2 linked regions of the Cricetulus griseus genome follow. The protein of the gene in region 1 purifies or fractionates together with the protein of each later gene. This does not show direct contact. Links are inferred from orthologs where the notes say so. Each region holds a gene or a part of one and is shown in the gene's direction. Other genes may lie near its edges.

Region 1 (4,429 bases):
AATGCTGAGCCATCTTGCAAATGACTGGGGAGAGAACCAAAGAGAACTTAAGCATATGAAGACATTTGGCAAGGTGTTTTTAAGAATTACTACAAAGTGACTTAAAAAAAAAAAAACAAAAAAACAAAAAACCAAAAAAACTATGAGCTACTAATTCTGTAAGAAGAAACAGAGCTGGGAGATGGTGGCGCATGCCTTTAATTCCAGTACTTGGGAGTCAGAGGCAGGTAGATCTCTGTGAGTTCGAGACCAGCATGGTCTACAAGAGCTAGTTCCAGAACAGCCTCCAAAGCTACACCGAGAAATTCTGTCTTGAAAACAAACAAAAAGAAAGAAAGAAAAAGAAAATTTGGAAAATTCACCAGCTACTTACAGAGCATACATTCAGGGATAGGCACTACCGAATGGTGGGGGGATATAATGACTAAAAAGAGTGTACCTCATGTTATTTTATGTACTTCGTATATAGCGATGTAACTCGATGTTTATAGTGTATAATTCGGTGTCTTTTAGGTGTATAACAGCAATTTTAGAACACCATCACTTCAGGAAACTAGTACCACAGTTTGTTCTTTAGCTGTCACCTCCAGTTCTCTCATGTTCCCCTTTTACTCGTCATTACTCTACATTCCATGTATTTGCCTTATCAGTGGGATCACGAAGTAGATACTTGTGTTTGGCTTACTCAGGCATGTCTTCAACGTTCTCTTATATTGTAGCATGTATCCGTACGTCATTTTCAAACACTATATTCCATTGGAGTTTTTCCCCTCTGGGTAAATTTGGTAATAATGCTACTGTCAACCTCTGTGTAGTTGTTTTTCGTGGGTGTATGTTTTCATTTCTTAGATATTTAAGCCAGGTAACTGTCGCGTCCAATGGTCACTCTTTGGTTTACCTTTGAGGAAGAGGCATTTTCCAGGATGTACCATTTACATTCTACTTGTAGCATAAGCGGGAACATATTTTTATTTCCTGTTAAACTGGCTCCGTTTTAAAAATAGTCTACTCGCAGTTATTTGTAAACAGACTTAAGACTTGGTTAAAGAAATGGTCAGGGCTTCTATTATTTCCTAAACATCGTGTTCCCCTTTAGGACACCATGGAAACTGCTAGTCCACAGGGTGGTGGGACCAAGGGTTTACCTGTTTTACCTGGGAGAACAAGGGACCAGAGGCCAGGGGCCTGCGTACCGCACCTTGCCGCCTGGGCACGCACACAGGCCTGCCGTCATTGCCCACGGGCCGGGCTCACTCTAGAGCCCGGCTGGGGCGCGTAGGCGGCGTCAGTGGGCCCAGGGTCGCCAAGGATGCTGCAGGGGGCCGGGACGCGGGGCACTAGGCCGGGTGCTGTGCCGGTAGGGCTGCGGCGCGCCCGCTGGGGGCGGGGGACGAAGGCCGCGCCCCCGCGCTCGTCCCGCCCGCGTCCCGCTAGGGGCGGCGGCCCGCCCCGATTCCGCGAGGCTCTTCCGCGCCGGCAGGGGCAGCAGCGGGAGCGGCGCGGGGCGGAGCGGCGCGAGCAGCCAGGAGCGGCCGGCCCGGCCCCGAGCGGCGGCGGCGGCAGCGACGCCAGAGCCCGTGGGCGCCGTTCGCGAGGCTGCCGCAGGCGCCTGGCCGCAGCGCGGGGAGCCCCGGGTGTCGGAGCTCGCCGCCGCCGCCATGCCGCTGCTCTTCCTCGAGCGCTTCCCGTGGCCCAGCCTCCGCACCTACACGGGCCTCAGCGGCCTGGCCTTGCTAGGCACCATCGTCAGCGCCTATCGCGCCCTCAGCCAGCCGGAGGCCGGGTCAGGCGAGCCGGAGCCGCTAACGGCCTCGCTGCAGCCCGAGGCGCTCGTGCCGCCGCGCTTGGCCGCCGGCGGTCCCCGGGCCCGCGACGTGGCCCAGTACCTGCTGTCGGACAGCCTGTTCGTGTGGGTGAGCGAGGCTGCGGGCCGGGCGCGGGGGCGGGCGGGAGAGCGAGCGGGGAAGCGGGGGGCCGCCATGTCACCCTTTATCTGCGGGGGGCGTGGCCCGGCCCTGACCCGGCTGAGGAGGCCGTGCGGCTGACCCTCGCGGGGGGCTGGAGGCCGAGAGGCGCTGCGAGCACGGCGAGCCGCGGAGGGATGGGGTCGAGCCGCCCGGAAGAAGGGCCGAGGGAAGGGCGGTCGGGCCGGGGACTCCAAGACAGCGGGGCGCGACCGGAGGCTGTGAGGAGCCGGGGCAAGTCGCGTCCAGCTCGGCGATGTTGTGGGCCGGTTCTCCATGAAGAAAGGGCCGAGAGTTTGGGGGACATTTTAAGCATTTGAACGGGTTGGGACAGTTATTCTCTGAACAAGACAACTTTGAAATGTTGCTATTTGGTAATGGATTACCCTCCTGTGGGCGCTATTTAACGAAGCAAACAAACCAGCTGCGTCCTTTTTTTTCTTATACCTGATGGTTGGTGACTGTTCCCTTTGATGACCGAAGGCAGCAAAACATTCTGTTCCGTGTGGCAGCGCCTCCTTGGAACGCGTTCTCTCCGTTTACGATCCATTTTAAAACAAGGTTTCTAGTTTTTCTGCCCGTGCGTGATTAGCAACGTTCACACGACACAAGTACTGTCTTCGTTTATTACATCATTTCAGGCTGGGCGGCTGCGAGAAAATGTTGGTTTCACCTTGCACTTGAATGCCTCTTCTATAAACCCTCAGAAAAAAGAAAAGTTGCTCCAGGATTTATAATTTGTCACTTGGATTTACTATGGCTTTTGGGATTCTTATCTCCTCCGTGTTCTTGTTTGGCGTTTACAGTAGGCTGTAAATGACTGAGGGGTTAATAGTCTACGTTTGTAGAATATATGCAACTCATTTGTTATAATTATTCCCACTGTGCTTCATCAGGAAGCAGTGGGATTTGTGAACTCCGGGGGCTGTAGATTAAGCCTCCTGGTCCTTTGATGAATAGTTTAATAGAAGACACTGAAGGGTGAGGTTCACATTTCCCTACTCCTGTGTAAAGATGAACTTGTCTTTACCAAAGATGGGGGGAAAGAATTCAGTTCACATCTTGTTTAATTTCAAATCTTTTTGCATTTGAGTCAAAGGGTAAACAATTTAGAAAAATTTGACGAATGCTTTTGACAAAAGTGAAGGCTATAGTGTAGTCCTTGATGCAGTTTTTAAGTCTGAGAAAAGCAGGACTTTGAAAGGAACCACTATTGAACCCATAGAACAGCCAATAGTATTGTTTAATGATTTTTTTTTTCCGTAAAAAAGTTTCTTCTTGCAAAACCCACGTTCAAATTCCAAGGTTAATACCACTTCATGAAACATTACCTAAGGCCTTTGGTTTTTCTGAGAATCGTTTTTAAGAATTTTTTTTTTCTTCGTACAGTCTTGTTGCATGCAAATTGATCAATTGATCGTCCCACCTCTCCCCCCAGAAGCCCTTATTTCTCACTTGAATTTCATGCAGTTTTTCTTCCATCTCTTCTGGAGTTTGGGCATGCTCATTTTGGTCGTACTGTGGTTGCCCAGTGCACTGAATTTTCTTTATCACCTAGTACTAACTTAGTGCTTTAGCAGTTTGCTTCAGCACTTCCCCCCCCCAAACCCCCACCTCCCCACCCCCGTGGTGTGACAGGTAACTACTGAGTGACTGTGTGGTGGGCCTTGAGCCCCACTCACAGGTATTTATATATTACCCCCCCCATAAAAACAAAAATGAAACACTGCCAAAGTCAAGCTAGATAGACAAGAAGTGGCCCTTTGTCAGTTGCAAATCTTACTAGTTATATTGTTTATTAGGCTCTCCAGAACTTGTCTTTGCAGAACACAGTTTAGAATTACAGAAAGTTTTGTATTAGCACACTCCGTTCAGACCTTCCAGAGATGCTATTCCCAACACTCTGGAAGACACAGCTGTGAAGAGCACTATCCCCCAACCCTCAAATGACTCATATGTAAATAAGGCAAAATATGATAGGTGATGATAGATACACAAAACCCAGTGGGGTTTGGAGGTAGGAGAAAGGAATGCTGTGTGGGGAAGGATTGACAGCAGGTGGTGTGGACACAGCCTTGGGAGAGTGAACTGGGGAAAACAGTATGTAAGGCTCAGTGTTGTTTGGGGAGCAGTGACCCCTGTCTTGGGCAACTTTTGTGACTTAAAAGGGAGACTGAGAGGGTGGGAAGGAGAGGTAACAGGAGGTAACCCTGCTGTGAGAAAGGTGAGAAACCTTTGAAGCTCTTACTGCTCCAGCTGTGGAGCCCAGGCTAACTTGTAGCTGATTTTAGCCATCTTTGGTTTGTCACTCCTCTGCCTTATTCGGTGAGAAAAGTAGGTGGAATCTCTGGTCAGGTCAGTTCTAAACTTAAAAATTTAAAGGACAGATTCTACAAGTTCATATTTCAAAGGCCAAAGGAAACAAAAGTGATAGCAGTTTCCCATTGCCAGCTTCTTGTGCTGAC
Region 2 (4,484 bases), about 150 Mb from region 1:
AGTTCCAGCAAGTTCAGGACAGGCTCCAAAGCTACACAGAGAAACCCTGTCTTGAAAAAACAAACAATCATCAGTGCAAGGATTTGCCATAGGTCCATTTTGATGGGACTTGACTGGAGTGAGGTTAGTTAGCACCATAACCTTGGGCCTGCTGTTCTTTGTTTCCCAGCTTCCTGTCTTTCTTCACTCTCAGTGAGACTGCTTTCTGGTATTTTCCTGCACTGGAGTTCAGAAATCCTTCCACTCTTGTCCAGTTGTCTCATTTCTGCCCTTAATGAACTGGGATGACTTTATTTCCCACGTGCTCATACATCTCTAAACTACCCTTTTTTTTTCTTTTTCTTTTTCTTTGTTCATATACACATGGTGTGGGGTTTTTTCCCTAAACTTTATATACAAATTATTATTATTGTGTCTGTTGTTGTGTGATGAGCTCAGAGAACGACTTCATGGAGTCGGTCTCCACTTTTCACTTCTATGTAGAATCTAGGGATATAATGAAGTTATCAGGCATGTCCTCAAACACCTTTACCCACTGAGCCGTCTCACTAGGTCCACATGGTGTGAAATTTAATAATTCGCAGTGAGATAAAAGTTTCAGGGATCTGGATAGACGGCTCAGGCTAAGGGCCCAGGCTGCTGGTCCAGAGGACCCTGGTTCGATTCCCAGCACCCATGTGGCAGTTCTCTAGCTCCAGTTCCTGGGGATCCGATGCCCTCTTCTGACTGCTGAGGGCACCAGGCACACGGGATGACATGCATGTAGGCAAAACACCCAAGCAAATAAAAAGTCCATCTCCTTGCCATCCAGTTCTTCTATCAGCAGAAAAGAGCACCCCAGACTTTAATCTGGTTCTAGCCTAGCCTACCATACTCTCCACCGTTTTTCCTTCGCGGAAAAACAAGCCTTCACTGTTCACGTTGGCCTCCTGACAAGACAATCCGGATCTCCACTCTGTTCCTGTTCCTGTTTCTGGGTGGCCTTCAGAAAACACTCTGGTGTAGCACAAAATACTCAACCCAAGCTTGAGTGATTAAATACACAGATTCCTCCGCTGGACGCACACCCCTCGTTCCTCGAGTCTGGTCTGGCAGCTTCCTTAGTGCAGGATGGGATGTGCAGCTGAAGAACGCGCGTCCCTTGCCAGTTAGGCTAGATACAGACCGTACAAGGATGAAGGGACAACCCCTACTCTGAGGGGCTGAGTCCTCGGGACCGGAGCGCCAGCACTAGCCCCGGTCCCAGGGGTCAACGCCAGCCAAGCGACTTCAACCGCCCGCGACTAAGGCTTTGGGAAGCACCGCGCTGGGTGCGCCTAGGCCAATTTTGTCCCGCCCGCTCACCGTCTCGCGAGTCGCGGGCGGGGGCTGCGTCGCGTGCGTCCCCGCGCGCGCAGCCGCAGTGCCGGGAAGGTGGGCGGGGCCGGCTGTTGGCAGCAGTTGGCGGGGCCGGGAGGCGGCTGCACGTGCGGCCGGGGGCGATGCGTCACTGACCGGTGAGGCGCGGCTGAGGGGTCGCGGTTCCCCGGGTGCCCGAGGCCAGGGCCGTCCCCTGTTGAAGCCGTCCTCCGCCGGGGGAGCCGGGGCAGGGGTGTCACGACGTGCGCCGAGCCGGGGCCGCCGGCGGCGGCGGCGCGGGGGCTGGCGAGGGGCGAGCCAGGGGCCGGCGCGCGGGGCTTCCCGCCTCAGCCCGCGACCGGACGCGGGCTCTTCGCAGGGTGGGGACCGGCCTGTCACTCAGGGCACTGAGGCTCCTGTGCTTCCCATGCCCAGGAGGGACAAGGATGAACATGACTCAAGCCCGGGTTCTGGTGGCCGCGGTGGCGGCGCTGGTGGTGGTCCTCCTCTACGCCGCCATCCACAGGATCGAGGAGGGACACCTGGCCGTGTACTACAGGTGAGCGAGCGAGCGAGCGCCCCGAGGCGGCCGCGCACGCGCCGGTGGTCCCGGGGCAGCGAGCGCTGCAGCCCTCGGAAGGGCTTTCGTCCCAGCTGCTGGCACAAGTCACCTGTGGCCGGGCACCTTCGGGTGCCGGGCAGCTTAGGGCCAAGTTGGTTCTGTGCAGAGCTGGAGACTCCTAAGGAGGGAAGGAAGTTGTCACTGCAACCTAGATGACTTGAATTCTAACTCGTAGTCCGAACAACTGTACAGGTGTTTGCTTTGCCACTGTAGATGATGCTTTTCGGGATCTCTGGTCCTTCTTCAAGTTGTTTTTTTATTTTGTTTTGTTTTGTTTTTTGCTTTTCGAGACAGGATTTCTCTGTGTAGCTTTGGACTTCAAGGCTTTTTTTTTTTTTTTTTTTTTTGTTTCCTTCATTAAAAATCTCCCAGTATATCTGGTTATGTCTCCCAAAATCTTAATGAACATGACACTGGTGTGTCCCTAAAGTCAAAAGAGACAAAAATCACATTTATAGGCCACCTTTCCCCCTTTTTTCCAAGTCAAGCTGAGGAAGAGTGTGGTCAGTGTTGCCGCCTGGTTTACTCGGCATAGCTTTTCTTCGGTATGAACTACCACCTGCTCCTTTTGGTATGGACAAATCGGGATAGGAGTTTGTTTAGAAAAAGCAGATTTCTGCTTATTTCCATCACTCCCCCCCCCCCCACACACACTGGTATTTCTACTTTTAGATCCCTCCTGAGTCCTAGAAAAAGTACGATTTTGGTGGTATGTCTTAACAGATGGAATTCTAGCATAAGAAGTGCCAGCCTGGACCACATTTCTGTCCAGCTTGTCATTTTCCTTCCAACAGGGGAACCACAAAGAGAATATATGAAGATATTACTCCCCCCAAAATAAGTGATGAACCTGAAACAGTTTATCTTTTTAATTATGACTTTCAAACCTGTTTGTACATTCAGGGCAAGGATCAATGTGTGAATTTACTATTCATTGAATAAAATAGGGCTTTTTTGATGTATTTGTCCCTAAACACCTATTCTTCATCATTTCCAGGGGGTGTTTTCAAAGTCCACATGGTCCAGAATCTGATGAACAAATGTGTGTCTCACCTATACTCTGAATCCTCTTGCCATCCATCTTTCCATGCTTTTTTTTTTTTGTTTCCTTTATACAGACAGAAGCTCTGTCCTAGGATTTTAATGATGTATTAAAAGAGTCATTAGCCTCAGAAATTTTCCTCCTTTGAAAATTTGCTTTCCTCTTTTTTAAAACTTAGTGATTAGATGTATTGTTTTGACTTGGCCTCTTGTTATGTGCAATTAAGATACCTTAATTGAGAGTCATTAGAGTTTTTCCATAAGTATTTGTCAGAAAGCTAAAGACCTACCGGAGAGGATGTGGGCCCAAGAGCAGTGCTAGAGACCCAGTGGTGTGGTTGGTGGAGCTTATGAAACAAGGTGCAATATTGGCAGTTGACTTTGATGTATTTTCACATTTTTAAGTGTGATGGATGTTTTAAGTAGCAGTTGTTAATCTTGAGTAACTCTGTTGTAAGGCCATTAGGTTAGTAACATGAGTAACAGTGAATGTTTACTATAGCATTTTAGAATTGGGAAGAGAATTTCTCTTACTTGCAGTTTTGTCAACCACGACATCTTTTTGCAGGGGCGGAGCCTTACTAACTAGCCCCAGTGGACCAGGCTATCATATCATGTTGCCTTTCATTACTACGTTCAGATCTGTGCAGGTGAGTGACTCCTAGGGACTCCAGATAGACAGGTGTGACAGGAGTTACCACACTTGTGGGTGGAGATGGATTTCCTTATTGCTTAAGCAAATGTTGTTATTTACTTAATGTGGAGTGAAAGTTCAGAGTACAACTGTCCTAACACAAGCATTGATTTCAAACCTTCTTGCCTTAAAGTGAGTTGAAAGTATGCATTAGGCAGCTTATCAAGACTTACTCCTGCCATCTATACAATGGTGTTAGCAGGTTTTCTGTTACTTCAGTCAAAATAAAAGTAAGAAGTGGGAACACAATTAGGAATACAAATCAGTAATTACTTGGTTTAGAACTGTTTGGTTTCCATAGAGGCAGGCTCCTAGGCTACTGTTAACATGGAGGAATGAATTTTTATACACAGCTTTTCGGGCCTCACATTTTTGCCTGGTGCATTAAACACAAATTTATGAGGAACCTGAGTGCATATGGTACTTTAACATTTTAGGATATTTGAATTAAGTATCTGGTTCTTGCATAAAGTATCTTGGCCATAGGACACAGTTAATAAATAAGCTTGATATTACAAGATGGCAAAATAGGATTAGGCTCTAACTAATTTTGCAAACTCAGTGATATCATAAATCTTTGAATTCTGCTACAGATTTTTCAGGAAACAGGAAAAGTCAATTTTATTAATATTATCACTGAAATTTTCAGCTTTGTGCTAAGTAAGAGTTATCATGAATAGCTAACTCTCCCAGGTTTCTTTCCAGTCCCCTTTTAGGGCTTGTGCCTAGTAAGGTGAAATATGGTAAACATGATTTCTTTCTCTAGTCACAGTGATTCCAAGATTGGCC

Evidence for each region.
Region 2: the proteins of Amfr (region 1) and Erlin1 purify together in Homo sapiens (affinity purification with mass spectrometry; 3 studies listed by BioGRID and IntAct, with this or other methods). This does not show direct contact. The link is inferred for Cricetulus griseus from reciprocal best matches to the Homo sapiens genes AMFR and ERLIN1.

The regions. Positions count from the first base shown.
Region 1 is NC_048596.1:170,204,101-170,208,529, reverse strand, and holds the start of Amfr (E3 ubiquitin-protein ligase AMFR), read left to right. Parts: upstream 1-1,534; 5' UTR 1,535-1,658; coding exon 1,659-1,913; intron 1,914-4,429. UniProt on the Homo sapiens protein: E3 ubiquitin-protein ligase that mediates the polyubiquitination of lysine and cysteine residues on target proteins, such as CD3D, CYP3A4, CFTR, INSIG1, SOAT2/ACAT2 and APOB for proteasomal degradation.
Region 2 is NC_048596.1:17,483,132-17,487,615, forward strand, and holds the start of Erlin1 (erlin-1), read left to right. Parts: upstream 1-1,397; 5' UTR 1,398-1,496; intron 1,497-1,518; exon of another isoform or gene 1,519-1,765; coding exon of another isoform or gene 1,766-1,784; coding exon 1,785-1,897; intron 1,898-3,569; coding exon 3,570-3,651; intron 3,652-4,484. UniProt on the Homo sapiens protein: Component of the ERLIN1/ERLIN2 complex which mediates the endoplasmic reticulum-associated degradation (ERAD) of inositol 1,4,5-trisphosphate receptors (IP3Rs).